Kluyveromyces lactis: one gene and its partner. The main gene of each other region encodes a partner of the protein of the gene in region 2 in a complex. Links are inferred from orthologs where the notes say so. Each region holds a gene or a part of one and is shown on either strand. Other genes may lie near its edges.

What was found.
Region 1: RPS12 (region 2) and RPS2 share a complex: the UniProt entries of both Saccharomyces cerevisiae proteins name them as parts of the small ribosomal subunit. The link is inferred for Kluyveromyces lactis from reciprocal best matches to the Saccharomyces cerevisiae genes RPS12 and RPS2.

What each region holds. Positions count from the first base shown.
Region 1 is NC_006042.1:899,298-915,701, forward strand, and holds RPS2 (40S ribosomal protein uS5), read left to right. Parts: upstream 1-3,856; coding exon 3,857-4,636; downstream 4,637-16,404. Other genes in the region: guanine nucleotide exchange factor MON1, read right to left, coding at 1-1,388; OM14 (Om14p), read right to left, coding at 1,914-2,441; mRNA-binding protein NAB2, read right to left, coding at 5,215-6,783; KLLA0_F09867g (uncharacterized protein), read right to left, coding at 7,344-8,453; chromatin-remodeling protein SPT16, read left to right, coding at 8,681-11,782; CHC1 (clathrin heavy chain), read right to left, coding at 12,008-16,404. UniProt on the Saccharomyces cerevisiae protein: Component of the ribosome, a large ribonucleoprotein complex responsible for the synthesis of proteins in the cell.
Region 2 is NC_006042.1:10,271-26,303, forward strand, and holds RPS12 (40S ribosomal protein eS12), read right to left. Parts: upstream 9,181-16,033; coding exon 8,776-9,180; downstream 1-8,775. Other genes in the region: KLLA0_F00264g (RTA1 domain-containing protein), read left to right, coding at 2,454-3,389; KLLA0_F00286g (uncharacterized protein), read left to right, coding at 4,249-5,868; ubiquitin-protein transferase activating protein PEX22, read right to left, coding at 6,797-7,267; RAD17 (Rad17p), read left to right, coding at 7,412-8,524; GPB1 (Gpb1p), read right to left, coding at 9,854-12,241; NDD1 (Ndd1p), read right to left, coding at 12,818-14,470. UniProt on the Saccharomyces cerevisiae protein: Component of the ribosome, a large ribonucleoprotein complex responsible for the synthesis of proteins in the cell.

The DNA of each region.
Region 1 (16,404 bases), about 880 kb from region 2:
GCAACAGATGACTTATTTAAGTTTGTACCCTTATCATCTTCACAAAGGTTTTTCAAATGATAATAAAATTGTAACATTTCATTAGTCGGTTGGGATGGTGTGTATATCTGTACAGTTCGTTTCATCTTATAAATGAAATGATTGATGTACGGGAACTTTTTATGCCAATCCAATAGCTGTAATTCCAAATTATTACAAGTGTTATCGTCTATCATTTTGTCCTCGATTCGCCGTACAAATTCATTCAATATGTCAAAAGCATTTTTTTGAGAACTTATCACCATCATGATAGTATTGTTCGGTAACACTTTGATCAAAGCATATAGGAATCCATTATCGTTGAATTTTTGGAAACATATTGGAAACCACAAAACTTTGTCTAATAAAAGATCAGTAAGCTGAGCACGCACTACCTCAAATAATATTTGCAAGTCCATAGTATGTAAAGTGTGGTTTGATGGTCGAAGAATTGATATCAATCTCATATCTAACGACGTAACCAAAGTGTAAAGAATCTGTCCGTTATGGTTCGATATATTAAAGTCCAAGTAGGTCGTCGACAAGATAGAATTTATTGCATTTCTCTTTTTAGGAGACATCGGCAGACATTCTAGACTATTAGCAAACCAAGTTAGTTTCGGCTGCGTCGCGAGGGATTCACAAAGTGATTTCAATAATTGCTGATCCAAATCCGTTAGATAATGTTGTAAGTCAAAGTTGGATCTTTTCAACATCAACTTGTTCAAATTCCTTTGAGATACCGACGATATGATATATGAATAAACAAGATCCAATTGTTGCTGCAACTGAGCTGTGGATTCATAATTATTATTGCACTGGACCATTAACTTGATATGATTTTTATCTAAGAAAACAAATCTTGTCATTATCCCGTCCTTACCATACATAGTAAACTGTCTCATTGCTGTATTGTCATTAATATTAAAATAATTCATCACGGTATGGATAATACCAGTAAGACCCATAGCATGATTCTCATTTTCCCACTGCGAGAAGACTAATTTACCAGCTGAAGTAAACACGAAAAAATGTTTATCCTTGCCACCCCGTTCGTCGATAAATTTGGTAGTATTCGCAGACTTATTGGAAGTTTCTTGGTTTAACGTCAAAGGGTATAGAGAATTTAACTCAGAAGTTATCAAAGATTGTAAGTCAATATTCAAATCAGTGTCCGCACTGATAGAATGATCATAGGTCGCGGCCAGCAAGTTGGGATCATTTTTGGCCTTAATTGATGCTGTGGTTCCTGTATCGATGTCTTGATAAAACAGCCCACCGCGAGCACTGAGATGGTTTGTCAGGTCAATAGAAGTAGTTGGTTTCGCCGAATTTTTCGTACTAATTTGAAACGACGGAGATCTGCGCATTATGGTAATCAACGTAGTCGAATGCGATCGGGAGATCGTCCACAATCAGTTACTTAACTCCTCTGGTCTCCAGATTAACCTTTTATTATTCAAAGGTTTTTTTACATGAGCTTTTTGTATGACTATTTTTTTTTTTTTTTTTCAAGGTCTGATGATTAAGATAATGAAGAGAAAGGAACCTGCAAGGCAATGACATCCAAGTCCTGGCGTGAACCAGTTTCCGTTATCAAAGAAGTGAGTTTTACATTTCAAATTAAGAAGGAATATACATAGGATAGAATAAGGAAAAAGATAGTGTTATATATATATATGTAGAAGAATAATATATATGTGGAGAGAGGTCCTAATTTTATATTCTTTTTTTTACTTCATAAGAACGACACAATTTTAGAAAGCATCGTCTGAGACAAAATCGTGACTTTTTCTCTTCAACTTAAAGAGAATGAAATAGAGAGATGAGATGACGAGTTAAGAAGAGATTTGGAGAAACAAGTTTTCCACAAAAATAAAAAAAAAGAATCCATATCAGTGTCTCTTATCGAATCTTTTGTAATTGTAGTAACTGACGTAGGCGTCTGCAGCAATGAAGGCACTCAACCCTGAAACAATCAAAGCGATATCCTTGTCAGACTTCCCCTTCAAGAAACGTCTTTTGTTAGCATATCCGTTTAGCAAAGTTGTAATAGAGGCTGCACCTAGCAAAGTGTTGAAAGCAACTACAGGGTTTTGCAATTCATGCAAGACAATAGTGGTAGCCTTCGAAGTATTAGCTGCAACGGTAGAAACAGTAGCTTGAGTAACACCAACTGTCTTGCTGGCGACAGCGTTGACAATTTCGACTAGCTTATCCCAGTATGGTTTCAAGATTCCTTCGTATTCATCGAGATGTTTTTTAACTTCGTCATGAGCCTTATCAACGGCATCATGGGCATCATGAGCAGCATGTGAAGCCTTATTCTTAGCGGTCTCCTTGGCTTCCTTGACGTCCTTAGCTGCCTTACGTTTTTCTTGCTGCTGGTTGTGGTGTTGAGCGTCGTGTTTTTCTGATGACATTTTTATTTTCTGTTGATACACTGATACGTTTGTTGTGAAACTGAATCCCTAAAGAGTTGATAATAGAGAGAATATAGAAAATGTTAAAGCCTTAACAAAATTGTAACGATAGTTTACCTTATTTTAATGAGCACTATTTTTTTTCGGCTTTTTCTGTCTCTTTATATTTTCGGGGTTGAATTTATAGAAAGAAAAAAGGGTAAACTGATTATGGTATTTCTGTCTAAAGGAACTATTAAAAAAAAACACCGGTATGGGCTTTGATTCTGAACTGATTTGAACCAAACTTTGAACTTTTCGATTTGGACCTGAGGTTACTAAACTAAGACAATCTTGTGGAGAAGACTCAAACAATACCCTACTAGTAGTATCGCAGTTATATAATATCGTACTTTTCAGGGATATATCGCTACTTAAATATCCGTGCTCAGAACTGATCTAGAAAACAAAAAAAAAAAAAGAAAACGGGAGATCACAATCACAATCACAATCCCAATCACGATAAAAGCTAAAAGTCGAACAATGATGAAATGTCACAGTGTGACGAAGTGTAACTATTGGTGATGTAGTGTGAGTGCTTTTATGTATTATGTATTGTAATACGGATGGAGCGGTTACAGCCGGTTCCCGCTGCGTTAGTTTGGCTTCTCTGTTCCACGTTTGAACATTTTCTTTCCAAGATGCTGAGAAGGTGTGCGGCATAAACGTCATTTACGCTGGATAGCGATAGAAGTAATCACTTTTCTGTCTCAGAAGATGAATTTGCTTCTGTCTAATAGGCCAATTGGAGTGTATTTGCTACTAACATGGCTTGATAATGTTGTTACCGTAAAATAAGGGCTGTTCTTCTGTATACTTTTCTGTGTCCTATTGACTGAATGTCCTGATTGCGGTGAAAGCAAACTGAGAAAGCAAAATGCATGCCGGACCTGGGGTAACCTAGGGTAACCAAATTATATCTCCTAGTCGGGATATAAATTTTGTGGACTGCTTTTCTCCATTAACACCCGTACATTCGGCAATTTCAATTTCCATCTTTTTTTTCAATAATGATCGCCACTTTCTTTAATAGGAAATATTGACCTTTAAACAAAACTATCTTGACACGTGATTTATAGCCTCTTTATATCCTCTTACCCTGCCAGTACAATCAAAGTTTTTCAAAGGTTTCTAGCTTCACAACCATGCAAACACGTCGGATATTTTTTTTTCACACATGAGACCTATCTATCTCATCACTAAACAAAGCTGCATCTTACCAAACGTTAAGTAATTTAATTTTATAATCTCTATTTGTTTCTCCTTCGAAGCTCCCCACGCATTGTATTTATTGTCGATTGAAAGTTACCTATCCATCAACTTTCCGTGATCCAATCCCGACAAGTCTTTATTAAGTACAATTCGATAAATCAAAGATGTCTGCTCCACAAGCTCAAGGTCAACAAGCTCCACGTAGAGGTGGTTTCGGTGGTGCCAACAGAGGTGGCAGAGGTGGTAGAAGAGGTGGTAGAAGAGACCAAGAAGAAAAGGGTTGGGTTCCAGTTACCAAGTTGGGTAGATTGGTGAAGGCCGGCAAGATCTCTTCCATCGAAGAAATCTTCTTGCACTCTTTGCCAGTCAAGGAATTCCAAATCATTGACCAATTGTTGCCAAACTTGAAGGATGAAGTTATGAACATCAAGCCTGTCCAAAAGCAAACCAGAGCTGGTCAAAGAACCAGATTCAAGGCTGTCGTCGTCGTTGGTGACTCCAACGGTCACGTCGGTTTGGGTATTAAGACCGCTAAGGAAGTTGCTGGTGCCATCAGAGCCGGTATCATCATCGCCAAGTTGTCCGTTATCCCAATCAGAAGAGGTTACTGGGGTACCAACTTGGGTCAACCTCACTCCTTGGCTACCAAGACCTCTGGTAAGTGTGGTTCCGTTTCCGTTAGATTGATTCCAGCTCCAAGAGGTTCCGGTATCGTCGCCTCCCCAGCTGTCAAGAAGTTGATGCAATTGGCTGGTGTTGAAGATGTCTACACCTCTTCTACTGGTTCCACCAGAACTTTGGAAAACACTTTGAAGGCCGCTTTCGTTGCCATCGGTAACACCTACGGTTTCTTGACTCCAAACTTGTGGGAAGTCCAAGCTTTGACTCCTTCCCCAATGGATGTCTACGCCGACTACGCCACTGCTTCCAAGAAGAAGTTGTAAATGTCATCTTTAAAATATTATAACTGTGCTGTATAGATATTTTTTTATAGCTGTCAGTATGTTTTCTCTGAAACAATAATATATTGTTGACATTTTACCAATTGTTCCTCTTCTCTTCACAAGCTACATATCATATATATTCACACTCATTATAATTGACCTTAACCCTTTAGGATCGATCATAATAAATGATCAATATACGTGACAAACTAACTAAGGGAAACTATATGACTGTCCTATACACTTCGTAGCAAGAAAAACCAGAGAAAAAGACATATGGTAAAAAAAAGAGATAGTGATAAAATCAAGGTAAAAGGGATTTCTCTTATATGACCATTAGAGTACAGGTCAAGATACGCCAATCATATTAATAGGCTTCTGGAATTTAAACACTGCCAGTCTCTTTTTTACAGTAGTCTTTCTTCCGGTTGACCTTTTTTTTTTATTACTTTACAGTATTTTTTTACCTTTTAAGACTTTTTTTTTTTTTAATAATTAATAGATATAACACTATAATAATAATTCAAATAAAACAGTTAAGGATATCACCATTAAATAGAGCGGAGTAGATTGGAATGTTAACTCATCATCATAGCATCGCCATCTACTTCTTGTCCAGCATGAACTGACTGTACGTTAGATTCTGGTACAGCAAATGGTCTCTCGTTACTCGAGGAATTTCCACTTCCAATCAGCTGCGGATTGAACCAAATACCGTTGGTGTTTTCTGTATCAGGCTTTTTTGGCTTTTCAGGCAATACCCTTTCTGGAGGATGCTGGAATAAACATCCGTATGTTCTACATTCAGCCCCGTACCTACAAGGTTCATTGATAGGGTGACCGAAGAGGCAGTCTATTCTTGTACATTGCGCACCCTCGCGGCACATGATTGACGACCTTGCGTGTCTCTTTGGACAATTTTTATTGGTACATTTTGGACCAAACTTACATTGTTCCAAAATCTTTTCTTCCAATGGGACAACCGATCTTGGCGCGAATTTTGGATTAGAAGGTTTAGAAATGACCGGTTTTGGTGCTGGCTTGTGTATGATTGGTTTTATTTCCTTAATCTTGGATAAGGAACTGTGAGCCTTGTTACAGGTCGGATCAGTGCATTGCAAGTTGTTCTCGCACCAACTGAATTGGGTAACCTTTGCGTCTTCATTTGCAGGAGTTGGATGACCAAATGGACATTTTTGATTAGAACAAATGATCCCAAATTTACATACAACAATACCACTGATCCTTTGCTGTTGTTTCTTTTCCATCTCTTCCCTCTTTATCCTGCGTTCTTCTCTTACACGCTCTAGTTCTTGTATTAATTGTCCATCTTCATTTGGATGTAAATAAGTGCATGTACCTGGTGGATTTTTACAGTTTGGATAACTTGGACACGTAACGGTTGGATGTCCACGAGGGCACTTCCTTCCTAGAGAACAGTGAGGGAAATCAGGACAACGGCCTTCTCTCTTGATGACAACATGGCCAGATGTTTCATTTGCGCCTTCCGATTCATTTATTCCAAGAGCCATCGCCAGTTGGTTAGCACCGTATCTCGAGTTAACTCCACGTCTATTGGTAACACCAGCACTCTTTGAAATTCCACCTCTAATGGAGCTGAAACCACCACGTCTAGAAGTCCCATTATGGGCCGATGAATCTTTGTTACGTTGCGAAGACCTCCCTTCGTTAGCCGTATTATATTTAGATGCAGACACATCTACTACCCCGCTAAATGCAGAAACCGGTGCACTTGGAGCTGGAGCAGAAACGGGTGGTGACTGTACTGGTACTCCTACAGATGTTTCGGTTCCAGTTGACACAGGTGCAGAAGGTGCACTTGAAGAAGGTTGAGATGAATTACCACTCAACTTTGCATAAACGGTGTTCAAGTCATCGCCTGCTTTCAACAGATCTGCAGATGTAAATGCAATGGAGACAACACTCTGGAACTCTTGCGTACTAATACCATCAAACAAACTTGTCAATTCTTGTACGATATCAGGACCGCTGGAACCGTTGGACATTAAAAGTGTAATATACTCAGCGACTTGGTTAACATCTTCGTTGAAATTAGGAACAACCTTTAATCTCTCGGAGATGACAGTCTTTAAATTGCTGGCAATATATTCAGGTACAGTTGACATGTTGCTACTCTTGGTTTGTGTCCTCTTTAGTTTGATCAAGCAACAAAACTAGCTTTTATCCTTGTTCAAATAACTGCTAAAGAATCATTCAGATTATTCGTAATTAATTTCGTTTTAAGTATATGTAATCTTGTTCTTCCTTTTCTTGTACCAGCCCGAAACAATTTTTTTTTTGGCTCTGTATACGGAATATCGTAGAATATTACGCAGAAGGTTGAGTGGAGAAAAAGAAATCAGAACGATGTCCTCTGCTATCCGAGCTATCACGTGATTCGTTGTTAACTCCTGTATTATATGTTAGTTGCTATATGATAGTGACAGTGAATAGACCCTGTTCCAGTTTTAGGTAGAGACCTGGATCAGTGGTTGATGAGCATTAGAAATCTTTCTCATATTTATAAAACTGCTAGTAGCTTTCTCTAGGGAAGTATTCATTATTTAGAGGAGTTAATTATTGGGTTTCCATGTGGAAATGCAGAATGATTCTATGCTATAATTTATTTATTCGTGATGAGATGCAATGCATATAACAAATTCCGTCGAAATTTCTTACTTCATATCTATTCTTTAGAAAGGTATTCTTTAGAAGTGTCTCGTAGTTTTGTCTTCTTGTCTTTCATGTAATTTATTACATTGTTAAATGTTATGGTCGTAATGCTTTTAATAAGTTCCTCGTATTCCTCGTTGATCTTGGTAACTGCTTCCGACTTTTCCTGCAATTCTATCTGGAATTGTTCATAAGTGAAAGGTTGCAACGATCGTTGGTATAAATTCGGATGGCGTTCACAAAGGTCGGCAAATAGATGAAGAGACTGCAAAAGAAGACTTGCTAATGTGAGGTGTAGAGAGTAATCCCCAAGACTTCTCTTATTAGATACCGACAGGTTGTACATTTCCGGATAAATAGTTATCACTTCGTTAATAATATCGATAGCATACGCTGAAAGGATATTGAGTCTTATGGCTAATCCATCCAAAGTTTCATCCCTAAGTGCTTCCTTTATCTTCTCTACTCCCTCAGTTAAATCACCTGCAAGAATTTGGTATGCAGAGAGTACAATAGGAAGTATTTGCACTTCTAACTCTTTAGCCCATCTGTTTATATTTCTTCTTGTAGCCAAAAGATCATCGGATGCCTTGGAAAACAATTCGTCATCATGCTCAAGACGTCTTCTTTCTGAGTCTATTCGCATGAAGGCGAATATAAATTCGCTGCTGATTTGCTCCGCAAAAGTAATTTCTCGCGACATAAAATGTGCAAATCCTAAATAAAACTTTCCAAGATCTATTACATCGTTCTTCCCATCATACATCACCAAAAAAGGATACTTCTTCCTCAATAATTCTGTTAGTTTCTCGCTATCCAGATGGTTAGCAGAACTTAAGTTGTTCCCACTCATTATTTTGGTACAAATAAACCAGTGAACCACCCCGATGTGATTATAGGCTTTGATGTTGATATACACCCAATAATGAAAAGTAAACGTGCACTTTCCACTGTTAACTTCTATTATAGTCATCCTCGGTTCAAAATACATTGGAAGCATCTTAGTATGGAATTGATCTCCAGTCACGTGAAGAGAATCAAATCCGTTTACAGTGATATATTCTCCCTTTAACCTGAATTTTTCAAAATTTAGTAAAAAAAAAACGCGACGCCAATAATGCATATATTATAGTTTTAAATTGAAGAGTAACATTAATAATTTTTGCAAACTATACCCATTGTTTAAGAGCTGGCAGGAAATTAAAGCAAAGGGACTCTTTGGTACTTTTATTGAAATAACCTGCAAAGCATTTCGTGGCTCGGTATTTCAAACTCATTGTTCTATTAGGCGTGGCAGTTGTCTTTTTTGGTTAGATATTGAGGACCCCATTGTGCTAATCTCAAGTAACAATGAGTGACGGAGGAATTGAAATTGATTTCCAAGCCTTTTATGATAGGTTTACAAAATTAGGGAAGGCATATTCTGGATTTGAAGGTTCTCCAAATAGTCTTCTCTTTGTACTTGGTTCGACTAATGAGGAAAACCCTTATCAAAAGACCACCATTTTGCATAATTGGTTGCTAGGGTATGAGTTTCCAGCTACATTGATTGCCTTTTTCAAGGATAAAGGTGTCATCATAACCAGCAGTGCTAAGGCGAAACATCTTTTGCCCGCTGTTACTAAGTTTGAAGGATCAGATTACAAACTTGAGATCTGGCAAAGAAATAACAAGGATGCAAATCACAATAAGAAATTGTTTGAGGACCTCATCAAGCTGTTATCAGAAAACGGTAATACTGTCGGTGTCCCAACGAAGGATTCATATCAAGGTAAGCTCATTCTTGAATGGAAACCGCTTTGGGAAGAAGCTAAAAAGACGCATTCTTTAAACGTAATCGATTGCTCTGCTGGTTTGTCTTCTACTTGGAAGGGCAAAGATGATAAGGAAAAGGCTTACCTTTCTGTATCCAGTAAGGGATCTGACAAATTCATGGATCTTATGTCAAATGAAATCGTCAATGCTGTTGACGAAGAACTAAAAATATCAAATTCTAAGTTGTCAGATAAAATTGAAAACAAGATAGATGATTCCAAGTTTTTGAAGAAACTTTCAAGTGATCTAAATCCTTTGTGTCCTACCGACGAGAAATTCGACGTTAATTTCCTTGATTGGGCCTATTCTCCAATTGTGCAATCAGGTTCTAAGTTCGACCTTAAGGTTTCTGCTCGTTCTAACAACGACTCACTTTTCGGAAAGGGTTCCATCCTAGCCTCATGCGGTATCAGATACAAGAATTACTGTTCCAATATCACCAGAACTTTTTTGATTGACCCGACAGATGAAATGACTGACAATTATGACTTTTTATTGATTTTGCAAGAGAAGATCATCGATGATTTATTAAAAGTAGAAGCTGATCCAACATCTATTTATGAAAAGACACTGGAATTCATCAAAGAAAAGAAACCGGAATTATTATCTCACTTTACTAAAAATGTTGGTTCTTTGATGGGGTTGGAATTTAGAGACTCTGCTGGTATGATCAATGCTAAACCAACCGCTCATAAAATTTCAGAGAATTGCTGTTACAATATTTCACTCGGATTTGGGAATTTAAAGGATAGTAAAACTGGTCAGGTATATGCTGTTCAATTAGCAGATACCGTTCAACTTTCTTCTGATGGAAAGCCATCCACTTTGACCAAGTACACAAAGGCTAGATCCCAAATCTCGTTTTACTTCAACAACGAAGAAGAGAACAAAGCTGCAACTGTTAAATCTGAAAAAAGCAAGCCTCCTGCTTTACCAAAACCTGATGGTACATCGAAGATTTTGAGATCTAAGCTACGTGGAGAAAGTCGTGCTGACGATGAAGAGAAAGAACAAATCCGCAAAGAGAACCAAAGAAAACTTCATGAAAGATTACAGAAGGAAGGTTTACTCAGATACAGTGATGCAGATGCAGTAGATGGCGATGAGAAGCCAAAGCATTTCTTCAAAAAGTACGAATCTTACGTTAGGGAAACTCAAATACCATCCAATGTACGTGATTTGAAGATTCATGTCGACTGGAAGAGTCAGACAATCATTCTACCAATCTATGGTAGACCTGTACCTTTTCATATCAATTCATACAAAAACGGTTCTAAAAATGAAGAAGGTGAATACACTTATCTCAGATTGAATTTCCATTCTCCTGGTGCTGGAGGTGTCGGTAAGAAAACTGAGGAGTTGCCGTATGAAGAGAACCCAGAGAATCAATTTGTTCGTTCTCTAACTTTAAGATCTAAGGATGGTGCTCGCATGAGCGATGTTTTCAAACAAATTACTGATCTTAAGAAGGAATCTACCAAACGTGAACAGGAAAGAAAAGCTTTGGCTGATGTTGTTGTCCAGGCTAAATTGGTGGAGAACAAAACTGGTAGGACTAAACGTTTGGACCAAATCTTTGTCAGGCCTAGTCCCGATACCAAGCGTGTGCCAGGTACGGTGTTCATTCATGAAAATGGTATCAGATACCAGTCTCCATTGAGGACAGATTCAAGAATTGATATCCTATTCTCAAACATCAAGAATCTATTCTTCCAATCATCAAAGGGAGAACTTATTGTGATCATTCATGTTCATCTAAAGAATCCTATTTTAATGGGTAAAAAGAAGATCCAAGATATTCAATTTTACAGAGAAGCATCTGATATGGCTGTCGATGAGACAGGAAACAGCAGACGCAACAACATGAAATTTAGAAGATATGGTGATGAAGATGAATTAGAACAAGAACAAGAAGAAAGAAGAAAACGTGCTGCCCTTGATAAAGAATTTAGATATTTTGCTGAAGCTATAGCAGAGGCATCCGATGGTCTCCTAGATGTAGATTCTCCATTTAGAGATCTTGGTTTCCAAGGTGTTCCTTCTAGATCAGCCGTGTTCTGTATGCCAACGAGAGACTGCTTAATTCAATTAGTTGAACCGCCATTTTTAGTCATAAATTTGAACGAAGTTGAGATTTGTATACTTGAAAGAGTTCAATTTGGATTGAAGAACTTTGACATGGTCTTTGTTTATAAAGATTTGACAAAGCCTGTTTCTCATATAAACACTGTACCAATTGAGCAACTTGAATTCATTAAGACATGGTTAACAGATGTTGATATTCCATATACTGTTTCTACAATTAACTTGAACTGGTCGACAATCATGAAGTCGCTACAAGATGATCCTCATCAATTCTTTTTGGATGGTGGGTGGTCGTTCTTGGCAACTGGATCCGATGATGAAAGATCTGATGAGAGCGAGGAAGAAATTTCAGAATACGAGGCATCTGATGAGGATCCATCTGATGAGGAAGTGTACTCTGAAGAAGAAGAGGATTATTCGGATGACGAAAAATTCAGTGATGAAGGGTCAGATGATTTCGCCGATGGATCAGAAGATGACGAAGGTGATGACTGGGATGACTTAGAAAAGAAAGCAGCTAAGGCAGATCGTAATAGCAATTACAAAGAGTAAGATTTTTCTGTCTCTGGATAGTTTATCGTTATTTTGGGTTGTATTTTTATAAGCACATAATGTAGGCACTTTAAAATCTTTTTTATTGAAATAGTTGGTTATTCTGGTTGGTTTATTTATCTCAACGTAATTGCATTCTTATTACATATTATACATACGGTTCATCAAATTAACATGACAGCATCGAAAGTGCGATGGAAAATAACTTACTAAACCCCCTCAAGTTCAGTAGTTAGAAAACCCAGTTGCCTGTGAGCCAATCGCGCCATTTGTCAAAAGTAATGGCTGGTCATCGGAGTTAGAGCCTACTTTTGCCTTTGATGCAAACTCGGAACTTAATTGCTTGATCGCATCATTTTGCTCCTTCTTCACAGAAATTTCATATGGTTTAATAAATGTTTCCAAGTTATTCAACCAAGCTTGTTCAAGGACAGTATCGTATGTAATCAAGTGGTAACAAGAATATAGTAAAGCGATAAATCCTTCTTTGTTGTCGGTTTCAATGAAGAATGATAATAGGTCTTCGGCGATCTGTTGACTTTGTGAAATTGCAGCAGTTTCAATAGCATGTTTCCAGAGCTGTTCGCCCTTGAAGATAGCCAAACTCTTGGCCCACTTTTTGTTTCTACGGTACAATTCGGCAGCAATAATCTTGAAGAAAATTATCTCATGATTTTCCAAACGGGTGGCCAACTCTAGTTGATCAAACTTATCATACGAGCTAACAGCGTCTTGAAGAGCTTTGTAATCAACCTCTTCGATCATCAAATCGTGATAAGCCTGATTAACTACGGAGTTGTTTTTTGGCAAGACATTAATTAAGAATGGTTTAATCAATGGTAGATTGTCAGATTTGGAGAAAATTCTAACAGTTCTTGGAATGTCTAATCTTGGAATCAACACGGTTAATAAATCAACAAGTAGTGAAGGGTGTTCCTTCACATAAAAGTTGATTGCTTTGTAGTAAATTTCCAAGTTTGACACTTTAACAATGATTTCTTTGAAGTACGAATGGTCAAAGTTATAGGCAGACTTTTCAATCATCGTTAAAGCAGCATTATCCCATTCATCGTAGTGTGCATACAAAAAGATCAATTCTGGCCATAAATGAGCATCCTCTACAGCCCTTATGACTTTTGGAATGTTAATACGAGACCAGAATAGCTTTAGGTGTTCATAAGTCTTGGATGGATTGTACTTAGTGTAAAGGATTGCCAATTCAGTAAACATACCCATATGAGCTCTTTCCAAACCTAAACCTGCTTCGAATAGGGAAATTAGCTCCTCGAAATACCCGTTGTGCTCATATACAGCAACCAATTCGTCTAACTCCTCGGCATGAACAACCAAATTCAAACCACAGATTTGAGCCAATCTAAATTCTTTATTGGAAATACATGCGTCGTTAACCTGTCTCCACACCTTAACATTGGAAGCTTTTCTGGCGGTATCGACAGCATTTTGATAATCACCCAAATAAACTAAAGTGCTAGCCAACTTAGAGTAGTTAGAAATAGAAGAGTAACATAATTTGGCAGCTTTGTAATCATTATGCTGGGATAACTTATCACCAACTTCTTCTAGGTTAGCAACGGTAGAGACTGACAACAAGTTTTCAATTTCATTCAACTTACTCAATTCAGCGTATGCCAAGATTAATGCTCCGTCGATTACCGGTTCCTTCAAAGATTCTCTAGCCATCAACAAATATGGGACAAGCTCTTCAAATTTACCAGCGTCTTCGGCAGCCTTGATAACGTTCATGAAGTTCGAAGGATCTTTAGCCTTGATGTAAGAGTCAATAGCTTCTGGGATACGTAATGCATTTAATTCTGCAGTACCAAGTTGAGACCATAGCTCTGGTGTGTTGATTTTGTCGGCATATGATTCTGCTCTGTCTAACATCAAAAGATCTTCGACTATAACTTTCAATGCTTTGTCATGTTTCCCATGTTTATCATAAATTTCGAAGGCTTCTTCATTTAATTCATTTTCAATACACAATGGTGCAATTTCATCAACATCATAATGATCTAATTTCTCAATTAAGCCACTTACCTTGTTAGGTTCATATCTAATAGCAGAGAGAAGCAATAAACCTTGCAAAGCAGGATTGTCATTGAAAGGAGATGGCTCTAGGATAATCTTCTCTAACAATTCAATTAACTCCGTCTTTAATCCGTTAGACATAAAAGCCTGCACAGTCAAAGACACTGGTTCTGGATCAGTAAGCTCAGGAATGCCAACGCTAATGACAGCATCAACCAATTGACGTCTATGGATATTGTCAGGAGACAACACAATGTTCCACAAATCAGAGTTTGAACGAGCCAACAAATATCTGGCCTGATATTTGTACATACTATTTTCGTTTGTGATTCTAATCAAATCATCATCGTTTTGTCCTTTCTCGTAGGCGATGTACGCCAAGTAAGGGTCCCTCTTTTCACAATAGCGACCAACATTCAAAGTATCATATTGATCATTCTCCTTCAAGAACTTTTCAGGTGAGTTGTTTGAGTCAATGTAGATCTTAGCTAAGGTGTTGTAGACAGACTGATTTTGAGTCCCAGATTGTAAAGTCTTTTCGAGGAATGGTAATAGTAACTTCAATCTGTTTCTCTTCTCGACTTCAGCAGTCAATTCATCGATAGGAACTTGACCGACGACAGTATCTAACAATGAGGTGATAACTTTCTCGTCACAATCAACATCCAATAAACCTGCCACAACTTGAGCAGTTTTAGAAGGATTAACTTGTTGCACGTACACTTCGATAAATTTGAAGTTTTTGGTTCTGTACAAGTATAAAACCAAGTCATGCACCATGTTGAAACGATCGCAAACAACAACCAAAGGCATTTGATCTTGTAGTTGGGCATCTTTCAAGAAATTCTTGACCTTCTCTGGGTCATAAACGTTGTTTTCCCTTACAATTCTTTCAACTTCTTGGAAGTGACCAGCTTTGACAGCAGCTTGAATATACTTGAAAACAACTTCCTTATCGGTAGTCAAGTTTACTAAAGAAGCCAAGTAGTAATATAAACCTTCGTTTGATCTATAATCTTCGAAGAGTTTGATTAATACTTGAGAACCAATCAAATCCGAGAACTTGGTTGCAACTTGAATGACAATTTGAAGATTTGCTTCCAAATTATCATCTAACAAGGTCTTCAAACAGGCGAGTGATTGTTCGACATTCAACTTACCGAAGAAGTCCACTAACCAATCAGCTGGAATGGAGGAAGTATGGACAATACATCTCTTGATATCCTTAATATCAGAGTAGTTTTCCAAGGCCCTTTGGTATAAACCTGCCTTTTCTGCCAAACCTGCAATAGTTGGCTTATCATAATAAGAGAAAATGTCATTACCCAAAATAGCATCAGCAACTTGAGGGGCATTTAATAAGTTGATTTCCAATACTCTCGTTTGCAAATGTCCTTGATCAGGAGTATTTGATCTTAAAGCGTCAAGTAAGAAAGAAGTACCTTGTTGAATGTAATTCTGACTGAAGAATATGTCGGCAATCTTTTCAACTTCAAGTTGAGAAGCAGTTTCAGGGTTAGATAATAAACTGATGGCAAACTCACTTGCTTTGTCGGGGTTAGTTCTTAATAGGTTAGAAATCAAAACAACGAAGTTTGGATTGTATCCCACCTTGGCGGAGTATGGTAAAATCTTATCGAACTGTTGCAATTCTGCAAGACATGCAATTACCTTTGGATGTACTTCCGCCTTCAAATAGGTTGCCAAAGCCAAAGTAGTATCAAATGGCTTCACGATGTCACCTAATTCTTCAGAGCATTGTAATTTGTCTTCCTTTAAGTACTTTTCGTATAATTGATTTCTATTTTGTTGTAGAAGTGGTCTTGTCAATTCAATAGACTCATATTGATTTAGTTTGCCCTTATCCAACAATGTGGAGAAATATAGTAAAATTGGAGAGATTGATCCTGGAGGTGCCTGGATATTTTTCAACTTGTTAATTGTAGCTTGAGTTCTTAATTGCTGGGATGACGCAGCAACTTTAGCAGCATTGCTGTAATCGCCTTGTGATAAAAGGTTGTCGAATTGCTTCTCGAATAAATCATCAGCACCTGGTAGTCCACCTCTCGAAGCCATTGTCAATGCGAGGGATACATTGGACAACTTATTCAAAACGTAAGGAACTATTTGAGTAGTATCAATTTCAACAGCCAAAACGTTACCCTTTTTGTTGATACATGCGATACCATTCTTGTGGTTGTAGTATGTTGCAGTAAAGACAGAGTCCGCAGTGATTCTATTGACGAACAAGTTTGAACCAGTCTCTAACTCATATAAATGGATAAAACCGTACTTGGTCAAAACATAAATGATGCCGTACTTCTCAGAGACTTGAACAGAAATTGGGAAATCGTTAACTGCATCAGCTGGAAAGAATATATCTACAATTTTTTTCTGGTATCTTACTGACTGGTCTTGAGGTGGATCGATTTCAATTATACGCAATTCGCCAGCGCCTGTGTTGACGTTTCTGTTACCTGTAACGAAGACTTGAACGGGTTCCGTGTTACCATCCAAAAGAATTTTGGAGAAGATAGCTACGTGACCATCAATGGCTTGCGAGATGCCTCTAG
Region 2 (16,033 bases):
TATTTATCAAATATGAGCATACCCTCTAGATCAAGTCCCTACTACCAAACATGATGAATATCCAGTGCAACAAGGAGAGTTTGAATACATTTCGGTGGTGTAATACAAAAACTTGAGATGTTTGAGGAATCTGAGGGAGTGAGAAAAAACTGAAAAAGAAATACATTAATCAATCAAGAGAGAAACGTAAACTGTTGAACCTAAGGCAAAAAACCTTAGTAACGTAGAGATCGCACTTGAAATAATATTAGACGTACATCGAACATTTTTCATAGTTATCCTATTTTTGTCGAGTGTTGTTTTGTAAACGTCGTCAGATAATGATTCAAAGACCACTTGTTTGAAAGAATATTCTCAGTCCAATCAAAGCTACCATACTCAACAAGATACAAAACAAAATCCTGATCATAGTCAGACGCACATAGCAGTGGAAGATGATCATGAAATTTTGGCTCGATTCCCAAAAGTACAGCCAAATTACTTCGAACAGAGCTCTTTTGGGCTGTCGACTGATTACAGTTTATGGAAGCTGTGCTATGACTATTTTGCCTTGAGAGAATGCAAACTTGGTACGGTCTATTCTCATGAAGCTGCAGGTGTTGAGTGGCAGCTGATATTTACACCAACTATTTTAACTGTGATCCGTCATACTATCCGACAATCGATGATATAGAGTGCGCTCTTCATGTTTTATTGAATTCGAGTGGTTACGACAAGAAGTTAGCTTTCTGTATAAGACTCTACAATGATGACCGGTCATTCACAGATTTACGAATTCAAAGAGCTAAAAACCCAGCATATAGACAAATTACCGAAATGAATTGTAAAAGAGGATATGAACGAAGATTTCCTGAGCAATGTGGTGTATTTACTGGTGGGATTTTTTTTTCACTGGACAGATTTTTTCAAACGAAAACCAGACAAAATCCTCAGAAGCGTAGAATTAAATAAAACACAAAAAAACAAAAATCAAACTCTTAGAATAATCTGCAAGGAGAACCGAATCAAATAGAATACTATAGGCTAAATCAGCTCATCACTTATCACTTAAGGATGTTTGTATTTGTTGTTCCCAGCATGCACCAATGGTCCCAGCGCGACAACCATAGGAAATCCCAATAACACATATGGGAAACGAGTAAAACTAGTAGCACGAAATTTGTAACCTTTATTCTTTTCTCTAATACTTCAGAGATGATTTAACCGGTGGATTTCAAAGGGTAAAACACTCGATATTGATTAAATGCACCAAAATTTGTTCAGCCAGTAAGCAAATGAAGCTGCTCAGGTTATTAATTCAATAATTTCATCCCAAGAGCTGTAAATTACTCCTCTACCAACTCCCATCAAAGGGAATTTTTCTGATGAATGCATCGGGTACTGAGATGAGTCGTATATCCATGGATTTGAGAGTTCAGAAAAGTATCAAAGGCAAGGAGAAGCGTAAGTTGAAATTTGTTTGGAAAGAACAGATGTGGGAACCAAGGCTTTGAGACAATGATTAACTTTGAAAGGCTGAAAAGATTTTGCCTTTGTAAAGCGCTTCTTTTCCAAAAAATGCTAACAGATAAGCTTACTGATCCCTTTTGTGTACATCGAAAACTGCGAAAGACAATGCCCAGACTAATTCCTGAAGGAGCAAATACTTTTGTAAGCGTGCAGACGGATGATGTGCGTAGAGCACCCCACACACGAACCTATTGCGTTCCACACTTGATTGAGCACAGTGAAAGGATCCGCATTCAGAGAGCTACGTATTTGAAGAGGCTTTTGCAAATTAATACAAGGTACCTACGATTCTCATGCTTCATTACCTTGAAGTATATTCAAGATCAATAGGAACATTGTTTTCTTGGCTAAGATCTACTGATAGACACAATGAGTCGACAAGGCTTGTTTATTTTCTCTTCAAGGGCGTGCAGGAAATTGCGCCTCGACATTTGTTGGTACCCCCGTTATTTCTTAACTTGTCTGTTTTCTTCTGCTGACATTGTTTCGAAAAGGGCTAAGAATTTCTTCATAAGGCTTAGAACTTTGGCAGTTTTCCTGCCGCAGGAAAGCGGCAGGAATAAAAAAAAAGAATGTTGGACGCCGTTTTCATTGGTCCCGTGATCAGCTGTTCAATGGCAGCTTTCCACATCTCCACGGCATTCCTCCTATAGCCCCTACCCCTATCCATGGTCCTGTTTCTTACTTTGATGCTAGAACTGTGCATGGTTCAGGGCTTCTCTAACTAATCACATTTCATCGCATATCTGCCTATGGGGAGCATATCGATAATCAATCCATCTTGCCATTGGCATTGCCTTGTTGTATCGGACCTAAGATATAAATACACTCATGGAAGTTCAACATTTTACGATCAATGTTCTGCTTTCGGAGGGTCCAGAATAGCTGAACAAAACAAAATATCCAACGAAAATCACTAAACAGCAGCAATATTCATCGAAACAATGGCTACTGGAGACGCAAGTGAAAGTTTTCAAAAGTACCGTTACGACCCTTCTAAGGCAGCTGCCATAGCCGTATGTGCAACTTTTGGCGTGTTATTTATTTCGATGATTATTATGATAGCTACGTCTGTAAGAAGGTTTGACAAAATGAGTGCCAGTAACAAACGCAAAGTTAGGAACTTCACCATTTTGAGATTTTTACCATTTTTGGTAGGTATTGCCATAGAAGCTGTTGGATACGGTATGCGGTACATGTCTGTGAATGATACCGACAAGTTGACGCCATACATTCTCCAATCTGTATTTCTTCTTGTTGCGCCAGCTTTGTTCGCTGCGACGATTTACATGGTATTTGGTCAAATGTTACATTATCTACAATGTACGAAGCTTTCCATAGTTCCTGCACGTTGGAGCACAACTATATTTGTGATTGGTGATGTTTTAAGTTTCTTTGTGCAGGGTGCAGGTGCCGGTATCATGGCCAATGCTGACACGTCAAGTGAATCAAAAACTGGGTCCAACATCATCGTTGTTGGATTATTCGTGCAGGTTGCAGTCTTCGGTTTTTTCATGATCACAGAGCTACGTTTCTTGCTTCGAGTAAAGCGCACTAGCGCTATTGTTCCGTACCTTTCACTTCACTGGAGAACGCTCAACTTAACACTTCTGGGCATCAGTTTACTAATTCTGATCAGGTCTCTTGTACGTGCCATTGAATTTATTCAAGGTAATAAAGGCTTCATTATCAGTCACGAGTACTTCTTGTACGTGTTTGACGCGCTAATGATGATTCTTGCTTCATTGGTATGGATCGTTACTTTCAAATTTGGAGACATATTTAAGATCATTTATGAGGTCAAACTCCTTGATTCTTTCAAGGAGAAGAGTGGTGATGATGCCAGCTATATGCAAACTGAAGCTTTTGATAAAAAGTGAACAAAGGCCCAAGTAAAGTTCGTGTATGTTTTTGAAATGGACTTTGATATCCAAGTATGATATTGTGAGACGAATTTTTATGTAGTTGCAGCAGATACATAAGAAACAAATTGAATAAATGTCATATTACTATTTTCTGACTAATTCTTAAAGGATTATCCGATCGCGATATTTTGACTACCAACATCAGCAGTCAGAAATTGTTCCAGTACTGAACCACGATTCCAAATTTGCAACGGTGTACAGACAGTATACTATCCCCACAAATCTAGCATATGCCAGTAACTGTACCCATAGTTAGTTCCACATTTTGTGATGACCACACTTTTTGCTGTCTATTTTTTTACAGCCAACCTGACAGATGTCAAAAGGCTACGTATCTTTCTTTAAGGGTCTGTAGTCGGACAGAAACCTCTGCGTCCTCTTACAGGTGCCGATCAAAAGCATTTTTTCAAACCTTGTAAAAATGTCTTCGAGACATATTCTTTCTTTCCACAAAGTCACAGTGATGAAAGTTTAAGACCGCTCAACGGCCATGAATACTACCAGCAAGTCAAACACGTACTAAACTAGTGTAACACCAATCTCATAATTTTAATTTTGTCTTCACCGTAATACTTCATTTGTGAGAGACCCCGGGAGTTACTAATTTTGAAATAGATAAACACAATGAGTCTTTGCAGAGACTCTCAAGCAATGTGGGCCAATAACCCATACTGCTGTTTCAACAATTTAACAAATATAAAGTCAGGACCTCTCTAACAGATGATATGTGATTCTGTGTGGTTGTTCTTTCTTATACGTAATATATAAGATTTAAAGAATTATCATCTATAGAAAACAAGCAAAATACACTACCATGTCTGAATTGAAAATAGAAAACGAAGATGCTGAAGTAGTCGATAAAGATGATAAATTGCAAAACGGGAAATACACCGAATTTGAGACTAGCTCAGATTCAATTGATAAAAAGGAAAAAAAAATTGATGTCAAAGATGCTGACGAACTTCTTAAATTTATGGACAAATACGAATCTACCGTGGAACCACTTACTGAGGAGGAAGAGAAAAAGTTTGTTAAGAAAAACTTCGCTGCTGTATCTCTATTAACCATTCTTGTTACGTTAATCCTTTTCATGGATAAATCAACAATCGGTTATACTACCATTCTTGGAATCTATACAGACACAGGAATCAGTAAAGGCGACTTTAACAACTTAAATTCTATATTCTACGCTGGGTACCTTATTGCTCAATGGCCATGTCATATATTAATGCAAAAATTGCCCTTGGGAAAATATCTCGCTGGAAGTATTTTCTCCTGGGCAATAATTGTAGGGTTGACAGGAATCTGTAATAATTATGGTAGTTTAATGGCTTGTCGTTTTTTTTTAGGTGCCACCGAAGCCGTGGTGGTTCCTGCTTGTGAGATTACCCTTGGTATGTTCCTTACTACGGAGCAACGTGAAATTGTTCAACCAGTGTTTTGGGCAGCTACAGCAGCAGCACCTTTACTTTCATCGTTCATTTCTTTTGGATTGATGCATACGAATACATCCACTTATCCTTGGAGAATATTTATGGCAATCAATGCTGGTTTATCGTTGATACTTGCCATAATTGTCTTACTCCTCTACCCTGATAACCCTGCTAACGCAAAGTTTCTGTCAACAAAAGAAAAAGTCTATCTTATAAAGCAAGTGCAACGGTCAACGGAATCATCAATTGAACAGAAGACAATCAAAAAATATCAAATTTATGAAACATTCAAAGATCCAGTTTCATGGTTGTTCTTTTTCCAAAGTTTTACTCTTATGCTGTCAAATTCATTGACATACCAACAGAACCAATTGTATGTTGATATCGGTGTCGACAACCTAGGATCTTCATTGGTTTCTGCGGCTGGGAGTGTTTGGGACATTCTACTGTACTTGATATTCGCTTTTGTTATCCTCAACTATCCAAATCAAAGTGGTTATATTGCAGCCGGTTGTCTGATTCTACCAATTGCGTCCAGTATTGCGATGGTTACAATAGATTGGTCCAACAAATATGCGTTGTTAGCCTGTATGATCTTAGCCGGCTCCTCAAAGGGTATCACATACATTATTGCTTTGGGATGGACGACATCATCTGCAGCCGGTTATACCAAGAAACTCTACAGGAACGTAATGTTTATGTTGGCATATGGCGCTGCAAACATCATTTCTCCTCAACTCTGGAATCCAAAGGATGCCCCAAGATACTATCCATCCTGGATTATTCAAATTGTGGTTTCATTCTTCCTTAATATTGTTATTTTGTTAACAATCAGATACATTTTGGCGAAAAGGAACAAAGAAAGGTATCAATGGGTTCAAGAACATCCAGAAGACAACTTTGGTATTGTTTCTTTCACAGAAGGAGTCAACGAAAGAGTTAATCTAGCCATGCTAGATCTTACCGATTTTGAAAACAAAAGATTTATCTACCCACTATGAGTTACCTTTAGTAGGAGTGTATAATTTTGGGATGGAGCAACTATCATTCTGTAAATCGTTCGTCAATTTCTACAAATTTACCCAAAGCTCTGTTCTTTTCAACTGCATATATCCACATTTCTAGAACGTCATTTTATGGAAATATTGTATATTTGAAAATGGGGCATCGCTATGTGGACGAGTACGAATAGAGCCTTTCACAATCCATAAATAGCTCCAAAGACACATAAGCAGAAATTTCTTGTGTTATCGTGGAAGCTATTACTATGGCTTTGTTGATCCTGCATATCAAATAGCATTAACAAGCCACTCTTTCTTTTAAGTTGCTGAAATATCAGTTAATAACTGTCAGTCCAATTATTTCCTCAAAAGAACATTGTCTTGCTACACTTCACTGCACTATCCTTTGGTCCTTAGGATCAATTATATAAGCGCCAAAATAAAGAGGTAATGAAGATCAGTTTTGAAATTGGCGATAACATTTTATTTCGGCCCTATGCTGTGCTATACCATCCTGTCTCTAAGACAGTTCCTAATATTATATCATTGAGGCCATTCTGTTAAGGAATGCTGTTTTTTTTTATATTGATTCCAGTGCATGTTGAGGCAGGAGTAAGGATGTGAGAAATCTAGTAACCTTCTTCGGGTGATACAATGCGTATGTCGGCTTTCTGCTTTTACAGTACTTGATTGTTTAATAAAGTCCTTCAGCTTGCATGTTGTTGTTATAGCCGAGTACTCTTTATTTGTAGAATACACAATCACGAACATCAAGCATAGTATGCATTGCAGTTCAATAGCAAATTTCAATATGGTAGATTTCTAACCATTTCATTCAGCCAGAAGTTCTGTTAGAGATAAGTTTACGATGTAAACATTATAGTACTATTATAATAGCATACATTAAAACTGATGTAAATTTCAGATTTCAAATGTGCGAAATCTGTCCCACATACCTCCTGAGATCTACTGGCATATCAGAAGTCTTATCACGACTTATTACCAACTCGTATTTCTTTAAATGCCTAACTGCACTCCAAACGGCCGATGAATTGTTAAAGATGACAATCTTATGTTCAATAGACGATAGCTGTAACTTTAAATGATTTCCTAAGTGGGCAACTTCTGGTAAAACTAACATTACGCTGTCTTTTGATAGTTCTTCTTGCCAATTTTCGATCTTATCGAACAAGTCTTGTGTAAGAACGTAACATTTCGACTTTGGTTTTACGTCTCTTATATTCGGGTTTCGCTGGCCACGATACAGATATAATAAATAACCTACAGTTACTGCCACTGTCGATAATACCCCAACAGCTATAATCGAAAGCTTCTTTTGCCGGGCTTGCTTCATAAGGGACTTGTTTAGCCAATTGGTGGTTTCCTTATCTCCTCGCATATAATGGCAATGAGGTTTCTATTTATGATTTTGATTCCATTTCACTTGTTTTTATAAACAATATATCAGTATGTACAATACATAAATAAGTAGAAACCAGAGAACCGTCAACATCTTGAACCCTTAATCTTTCGGCAACCCACAATGATAGATTCTCCTATTTTTTATGCGACGACTGTCCATTTGGATCATATTGTGACGGCTTTGAATTGTTTAACACCTTTTGGAGTGAAAGGTGAAATGCTCATCACCATAGATAAAAATGGTTTGTCCTTTGCCCAAGAAAACAATCATGTAATCAAGATCCAATTGGTTCTTTCACGGGAGTTATTTCAAACCTTTCACTATAGCCCGATAACTGAAACATCTTTGACCAAGGTATCCCTGCGGCTTGACCATGTATTGGATAGTTTGAATATCAGTAACGATCGGAACGATATAATTGAGTGTACTTTAACATATAATGGGGATGGATCCCCATTCATATTAATATTCGAAGATAACATGATCACTGAAAGCGTCGAATACTCAACATATCTGCTCAAAGACTTAGACAACACTGGGTTGGTACTAGATAGAACGCGACTGCAATTCGAATGCATAATAAAAGGGGATGTCTTACACAATGCCTTACACGATTTGAAGGAAATTGGATGCAAAGATTGCTATTTTTATGCGATACATAACGAAACCACCAAAAAGCCCTTATTCGCATTGATTTCAAGATCTCAACAAGGTTTATCTAAGATCATATTACCTAATGAGAGATCGATTTTAGAGAAGTTCGAAATATACGCAAATGATTCAACCACCCTCTTATATGATCATCCAATGATAAGTGTTTTTGATTATGGAATGCTAGACAAAATACGAGCCAGTGCTCGGATTGCTTCAAAAATCATGATACGTAGAGATGTACATGGTTTGATGACTGTTAATATATTGAATGAAACGAAGGATATACTAAGACCTAATGACCAGGAGTATAAGAGGACTAGAGCCATTTCAGGTAACAATCTACCAAGTCATTATCCTGGGATAATTATTGAGATATGCATGCTTGAGAAAGCTCTTCCAGAGCTTCCAGACGTAAATGAGATAAAAGTAATGATGATTGAATATATGGGAAGTGAATCGCGCCATAATTTCCTTCCCAATACACAACAACCGCCGAAGAAAACTGCACATGACGATAAAGAAGAGGAAAATAGTGACGGGTATGAAGCTGCTTCGCAAGATTTGCCGCTATTCTTCTAGCGCAACCCTGCTTCGACAAGCTGAATTAATCAGGTTGGAATTAACGTCATTTTAGGTATAGATGGAAACTATTTGTAAACATATAGATACCCTAGAATATATATACAAACTATAAAATAGAGCATTTTATCAAACCAAACAATGTCCATATTCCCATGAAGAAATCTGTTTATGTTATTGTTGAGTATGAGAAAAATGAGTAAAACAGAAGCGTTAAATTGGATTTGAACATAGATTCAAAATCCACTCATTTATTGTTGGCTGAAATGTTCCAAAAGAATTTCTCTTTCTTGGGTGTCAGCACCCCAGTTCTTAACAACAACAACGGAAGCACCGACGACCTTTCTGGCGTTACCGTCACGGTCGATCTTACCCAAACCGGCCCATTCACCTAATTGCTTGGCATCAGCAACCTTGATTAATGGAACGTTGTTTTCAGTGGCCAAACCTTGGACCAACTTGCTGATGGCTTCTTCAGTAACCGATTCAACCAAAACAGCTAGTTGACCTTCACCTCTGGTCAAAGCCTTGGCAGATTCTCTCAAACCTCTGGCCAAACCATCGTGAACCAAAGAGGTTCTCAAGACGACCTTTAGGGCATCTTCGATGGTCAATTCAGCGACTGGGACTTGTTGGACTTCTTCAACGTCAGACATTTCTAATTTGATAAAATTTTCTAAAGTATTGACTTCTTCGACAGTGGTACTGCTCCGTGAAGACTTTAGAATAACATAAAACTAAAAACATACTAAACTAATAAGAAGACCATCCGAAACGTTTTATTCAATACTCTTCAACATATTAGCTTAAATCATGGGAATTCAAAATATAAAGCTTCCACCATTCACCGTGAAAAATAACTTTAAGGTTTAGCGCACTATATACGTTCAACACTTAAGATATTTCAGAATCAACAGACGACAGCGGAGGGCAGAACAACTGCGTCCTTTTCTTTCGCTGTAATGTCCAGGTGTTTTCGTGAACATTTTTCTTAAGACTAGTCCGTGGTGGCGCGTACTATGTTGACGTGTAGATGCCATATTTGGAAATTCTTTAGTTTTCTTCAGATTTGAGGAGGATTTTGGAATATGTACGGGTGCAAACAAATATGACAGTCACTGGTATTTTAATCTTGTTCAAGTCTTTTCATTAAGATTAGAAGTGATGAATACAACAGCATGGGTCGCGCTTCGTAGTTTAAATATCAATAAGCGCTATAGTCTAGTAGTCGTTCTGTCAACTCTGACGATTCACGAATTTGAACTGCTGTTTGCAGACAGTACGGATGTCATAAATACTTTCAGCATATCTCCGTTGAAAAGTCCGTCATTATACACCTGGGATATCAATCAATGGTAAGTTTACCAATGATATTGCACCACGTAGGAAAACATCACAGCTTTCCGTATCCGTTATAAGACCTCCTACCGTCCATATGTAGTCTTGATCGTAGACGATGGGATTACATGATAGTCTCAGCGCAGACAAAGGCATATCTTCCGTATATTTTGTTCTGGCTCTATTCATGATGTTAACAACTTCGAAGTTTCTAATTACCCGAGATGGTAAACTGATGAACGTGAAGGTTCCATCGGTATCATGCATGGGATGTTGATGTTTTTCGTCATACTTGTAGTCTTTCCAGTATAAAGAAGAATCCACGTCTTTTTGGCTCAATCCTCCAATTACCACGGTGATCTGTTTATTATGTACAAAAGTGTGTCCCGTAAGAGGAAATTCAACTATTTTGAGCTCTCCGGTCTCTTTGTCCTTGGCTTTCAATGATAGTTTTGTCCAAGTTCCCTCATCTAAATCATAACACCACATATCACCGTGAATAAACTTATTTGCGGAACCTCCATGTATTATTAGCGACTTATTTAATCTTTTGGGACTAGTGCTGGAATTCATGGTTCTTCCTGGAATCATCGGCTCGTTTACAACGGGTTCATCGTTAATATTGTCAACTATTTTGAAATTATGCATTAGTCTGTCTAACAGATCTGCGTCCATAGATTTCGGACTCAAAGAGTCTGTATCTACGACATAAGATGCCATAAAACCTCTAGGTAAAGGCCATTTTTTGTAATAGTCCCTCAGAAATGCTTCATCAACTGCGTTTTGTGGTAATCTAGATATTATTGTCACTAATGCGGTGTCAGCAAACTTCAAAAAGTTACGTTTGCCCCGAGATAGGACGGTCACTTCGACCTTCCATAAATCGGATATCGGTATGAACTTGCCATCTCCGCCTTCTCTATAACCACCCATAATTAAAATGCTGTAAACACCGGGTGAACTTGATGAGGTTGGGGAAATGATATTATCGGAACTCAATGCCATTGATGAGGATACAAAATTCATCATAGGGTCTTCGAAAGTATTAGTAGAGGAATTCTTTTCAGCTGTTGAGGATGACAATGAAGAAGGGGGAGAATCAGTACCTGATGTTGAACTTCTGGTAGATTTATGGGTGTGTGTTTTCAATGAAACCTGTAGATGTCCAAATCTGGGGACTGTATTCGGATATTTCACGTATTTTGTAGGTTGCGCAACAAGCTGTAATTTGGTGAACTTGTAGCACAAAGTGTCCAATATATATGCAGTATCGTTCAATATTGCTCGCTTTTTAATGTAGTATTCGTTTGTTTTAGGATCAATTGAAACTTCGTGTTTTATTTCAAAGCCACCATAATAGAATATATGCCTGTCGGTTAAAATAGAGCCCTGGACACAAACTAAAGCGGGAGGGATCTGTCCTGTGGCATTCACTTCAGTCCACTTTGTTGACGTATAAGAAAATGTGTACAACTTATTACTTGGAAGCATAGCCGGGTTATTAATGATTGTTTCGTCTAATGGAGGCGGAAGGTGTTTTATTCCGTCTACGTGAAAACTGGATAAGTCCGGGGAAACTTCGGAGAAAGAATAGGATGGTGACATTCCTCCAAAAATATACAAACAGCTATCCAAATTAACAATGGAATGATATGTTAGGGCAGGCACTCTAGTGTCACTAAAAATTGGGGGATACAGCTTAGTAATAGTAATTGGACATGTTTCTGAATAAGGAACGTTGAGTTTGATTTTATAGGATGTGTACAGCTTTGGCTCCATGTCCGGAGAGCTTGGTTGCCACCTAGCAATCGGCACCCACATATTTTCCTCACGTTCAGATATCTCACCGGAAGAAAAAGAGTCGCAGTTCGATGAAAATTTCTGACGGTACTTAATGTAAACCTTTGCTGCCTCAGTGGCCTGATTTTCCTGAGTAGTGTCAATGCTAAAAGAATTTGTGGACTTCTGCTCTTCAGGAAGACGATCCATGTTCCATGATGAGAATCTATGGGATAGTGAGGTCCTACGTCTTGAAGATCTGCTCTGAGGCGAATTGGTACTTTGAGAGACATAGCTATCTTTCCGTGTTGCCAAAGAGTCCAATGCTTCCTTATGATAGTAATTCCTTAATTTCTGTAGATTTACTTCCCTTTCTTCCTTCATAAGCTCCGCGGTAGCAGCAGGCGTATTCAATGTAGGAATATAACTAGTGATATAAGGAATTGGAGAAAATTGTTTGTATTGACCATCCTTATTGATTGTTTTGAATGTAGATGGGACGTCGTTCCATTCATAATTTAAATGGTAAGGTTGATCGTTTTTAATGGCACGTTCCTCAGATGGCCTGGGATCCTGACTAAGAGGATCAAGAGCTTCCATATTGAACGATGAATTTGGAGCTGACAAACTATGCAATAGCTTTATCTGAGGTTCCCTTTATTTTAAAGTTTATTCGACTGTTCCTTAATTGATTTGGGGGCGGATTGTAATATTTATTGTTCGTTTTTCTTTTTGTCTTTTGTTTTTCAAGTGGGAATTATTTATTTTGAAGGGCGTAAGGCACGGCTACTGGGCAGGATTTTGTAATCAAAGCAGTCATAAATTGCAGGTTCTTGCAACATACAATGAACTCCTTGTAAGTTAGTTCACAAGATAGCCTGATTTTGGATGGTGAATACCAATTTTTTTTTTTTTTTATTGAATTATCACCAACTTTATTGGGAAGAAAACGAAACGGCACAAACTAATATAGATGCTTTGAGATGTACATAAGAATTGAAGAGTAATATGAAAATATAAAAACGAAGCCTTCAGTCAAAAGCTGCGAGGCGTGCGAAAGGATAAGGTAGATATAAAACATGAATAAGGAAAAGTGCAAGCATTGTTCCTTGCTGAAAGTATGGGGAAAGCACATTGATTTAATTTCCCTTTTTTTTTTGTCGATTATGCTGTCTTTTATTGAGAATTAGGTATGATATTAGAAGTTTCGTAGACTTTCTTCTTTTTCTTCTTTTTCTTAACTTCTCCAGGTACAATAACCGAACGAGATCTCTTTAATTTTGCTTGATTATTCGAAGTAACTCCGTCATCCGAATTAAAACTGGTTGTATCGGTCATTATAATTTGGAACCTCTGTTTTGTGATTAATTGATTTGTCTTAGATTTGTTTTTATTCCCATTTCTGTTAAGCTTTGGTTTTCTTACTTTTTCCGAAGTAGATGATATGTCATGTGTTGTACCCATACTGGAATGTATATTAGCGTTATTAATGTTAATTGGTTGGTTGTTAGTGTCCGGTGCTCTTAATGACGGAATTGTGAGCCCTTCTTTGAAGGATCCCATTTTCGGTAGTTCAAAACTTGGGTCAAGTCTGAACTTCTCACTTTTATTTAGGGATAGTTTAGGTGTCGGTGATGCTCGAAGGTGAAATAGTTTCTCATCGATGTTTGGATCTCTTTCAGGCGAACATTTGACACCTGACGAATGAAGTTGGATGGTGGTAGGGGATGAGCAATATAGCTTCGATCCAGGGCTTTCATTCCTTAAAGCTGGTCTTGAAGTAGGTGTAGACTGTAAGTTATGCTTTCGGGCACGATGAAAGTCAACCAATGCGCTGTTGTTCGAAGAAATTGGTTGCATCATTTTGGTAAACGGTGTTCCCATTTCATTCAAAATCCTTCTGCCGTATGGCGTCAAGGACATCTGTTTTCGAGGCGGAGACAATGAAGTCTTGGAAGCAGAATTGAACATGAGGTTTACATCAATATTTTGCAATGGAGAGTGAATGGAATTCATCAATCCTGTGTTATTTTGTTGATGGGTTAAATTCGTATTATTAGTGACAAATTTAAGAGGTGTCTTGGCGGGAGTTTGTCTTTGTTGCCAAAAGTTTAAACCTGCTGGTGAGTCCATCAAAAATTCTTTGAATTGTTCAGGACTCGCAAGCAATAATTCGTTTGCAAAATTTCCGAAATGCAACACAGAGGAAGGTTGTTCATTTATATCAGGTAAGATTGGTTGAGAGATGTTATTTCCAGTGATTGCTGTTCTAGTTGCTGCCGCTGACGATGATGATGAGGATGAAGATATAGATGACTTCCCATTTCTTTCTGTTGAGTTTGCTGATGTCTGGATGGTAGAACCTTGATTGGAACCTGTAACAATGGAGGCGGAGGCTCTCGAATTCGAGGATGACAGAAGCACTTCAACGTCGTGTGATGTTGAACTATGTGTCGTACCAGTAAATTCAGCATTGATAGAGTTATCACCATCAGTTAATATTTGACTACTATTGACATCGATATCATTGGAGCTAGTGTTCGGATCAACGGTGGGTCGATGGCTGTGCTGGTGATGACGCTGGTGATTGCGATGATTCAGCATGCTATTTTCAACCAATGAGTAATCATTCAAATCGGAATTATCCCTTTCAACAGCGTTTATATGGTCCAGTTTGTTCTGATTAAGGGTGTATGGAGTTGGTAATGTGTGTTGCATTGGTTGCGGACTATTGAAGGCATATTTAGTACCAAGCTGCTCTTGCCCTGCATTTGACCGGTAGATATGAGGACTTGTCAAGTAATTGGCTTCCTCGTCCCTTGAATTCATCTGGAAATCTGGTAACACTGGTAGCACTGGTAATAATATTCTTGATTTATTGTTACGGTAAACGAATGTCGTTGTGAGAAATGAAATGAAGGCGTAGTTGGCTGCAATGTAAAAAATTCAAATGAAACAAAGAGAGATGTCCAGTTGTTTAAATATAAACACAATAGTCAAACTGTATCTTGAAATTGAAAAACAAAAAACGATACAGAGTGTAATCTGAATCCAAGCGAATGCTTCTTTTTGTCTTTAACGAGAGGAGAAAGGAAAGTCACAGTGCTGAACTAAACCTGAAATAAGGATCCCACCACACGCGTACTGTTACTCTATGGGTATGACGATTGATGAAATAGATAAACGTACAGTCTTAAATCAAATAGTGAATCTGTAGTAGTGTTCCAATGCAACGGTTTCGTAAACAAATTCCAAAGATAAGCTAACTAGCAGAGGATATAAAGTATGATTTTTGTATCACTTATGCGTAAATGATGGTTGTTTGCTATTCCCCTCTGTTGTAATATCTTCAAGCTTCTGGGAATTATATAGTATTACCGGGTAGGCAGAATTAAACTCAGTTAAACGTCCACGAATTGAAACAGTTGTTCCATGAAATATCGATAGCCAGGTTGAGAGTTATGCTGAAGGTTGTCTTAGCTTACATTTGTTTTGTTTCGTTTTGTTTTGTTTTTTTATTTTTATCACAGAAAATGCTATTAACAGATGCAGAAACTACGGGGCTATGAGATGGACCCACAAAGAGGGGAGCGAAAAACTGTTAATTACCCGGTTACAATGCGACGCGAAAAAATATGTAAATAATAATGAACCATGTCGTGGTTATAGCTGTATTCCAGCCGGGATCTGAAATGTCAGTAGAAAAGGTTCTGCAGCGTTTTTTCGTTTATACCGCAGATAAGAAGGGCTTTATTCGATGCGATACTGTGTATCCGATATACATTAGAATTTACATGACGGAGTTCATTGAATCCTCAAGTTTTTCTACGCATAGAAGTACTACACCAATGTAAATGCAGTAGAAATATTGTCGAGAATCCCAATTATATTACTGTCGTACTACAGCGCATCTTTTCTTGATAGCATCAGTTATCGATCTTTCTTTGCAGCAAACAACGTGCGAGGAATCTAACATCAGTTTTCATACTTTTTATACCGTTTATGTTTTTTTTTTCGGTTTTCTTAAGGCTTTACACATTGTGGCATGAAGTCAGAAGAAAAGTAATACTGTTTCGAAACGACAGACGCCAGATGTCACACTTTGTTTTTGCCGTCCAATTTCCTACTTTTTATAGGTGTATATGTATGTCTGCTAAATGCAATTGTATCATTTATCTATATAGTTTTCTCTTTGTGAAAGCGCTCCGCAAATGCAGAAAGTGCATTTGAGAAAAACATGAAAACAATAATAAAAACAAGATTAAATTCGAGAATGAAAACAAACGCCCAATTGAAAGAAGCTCTGCTAATTGTTGAAGTATTATGAGTTTACAAGAAGTGAATTCAGTTACAGATAACTGTAGAATACCATTCGTTTTCTAAAAGCTTACA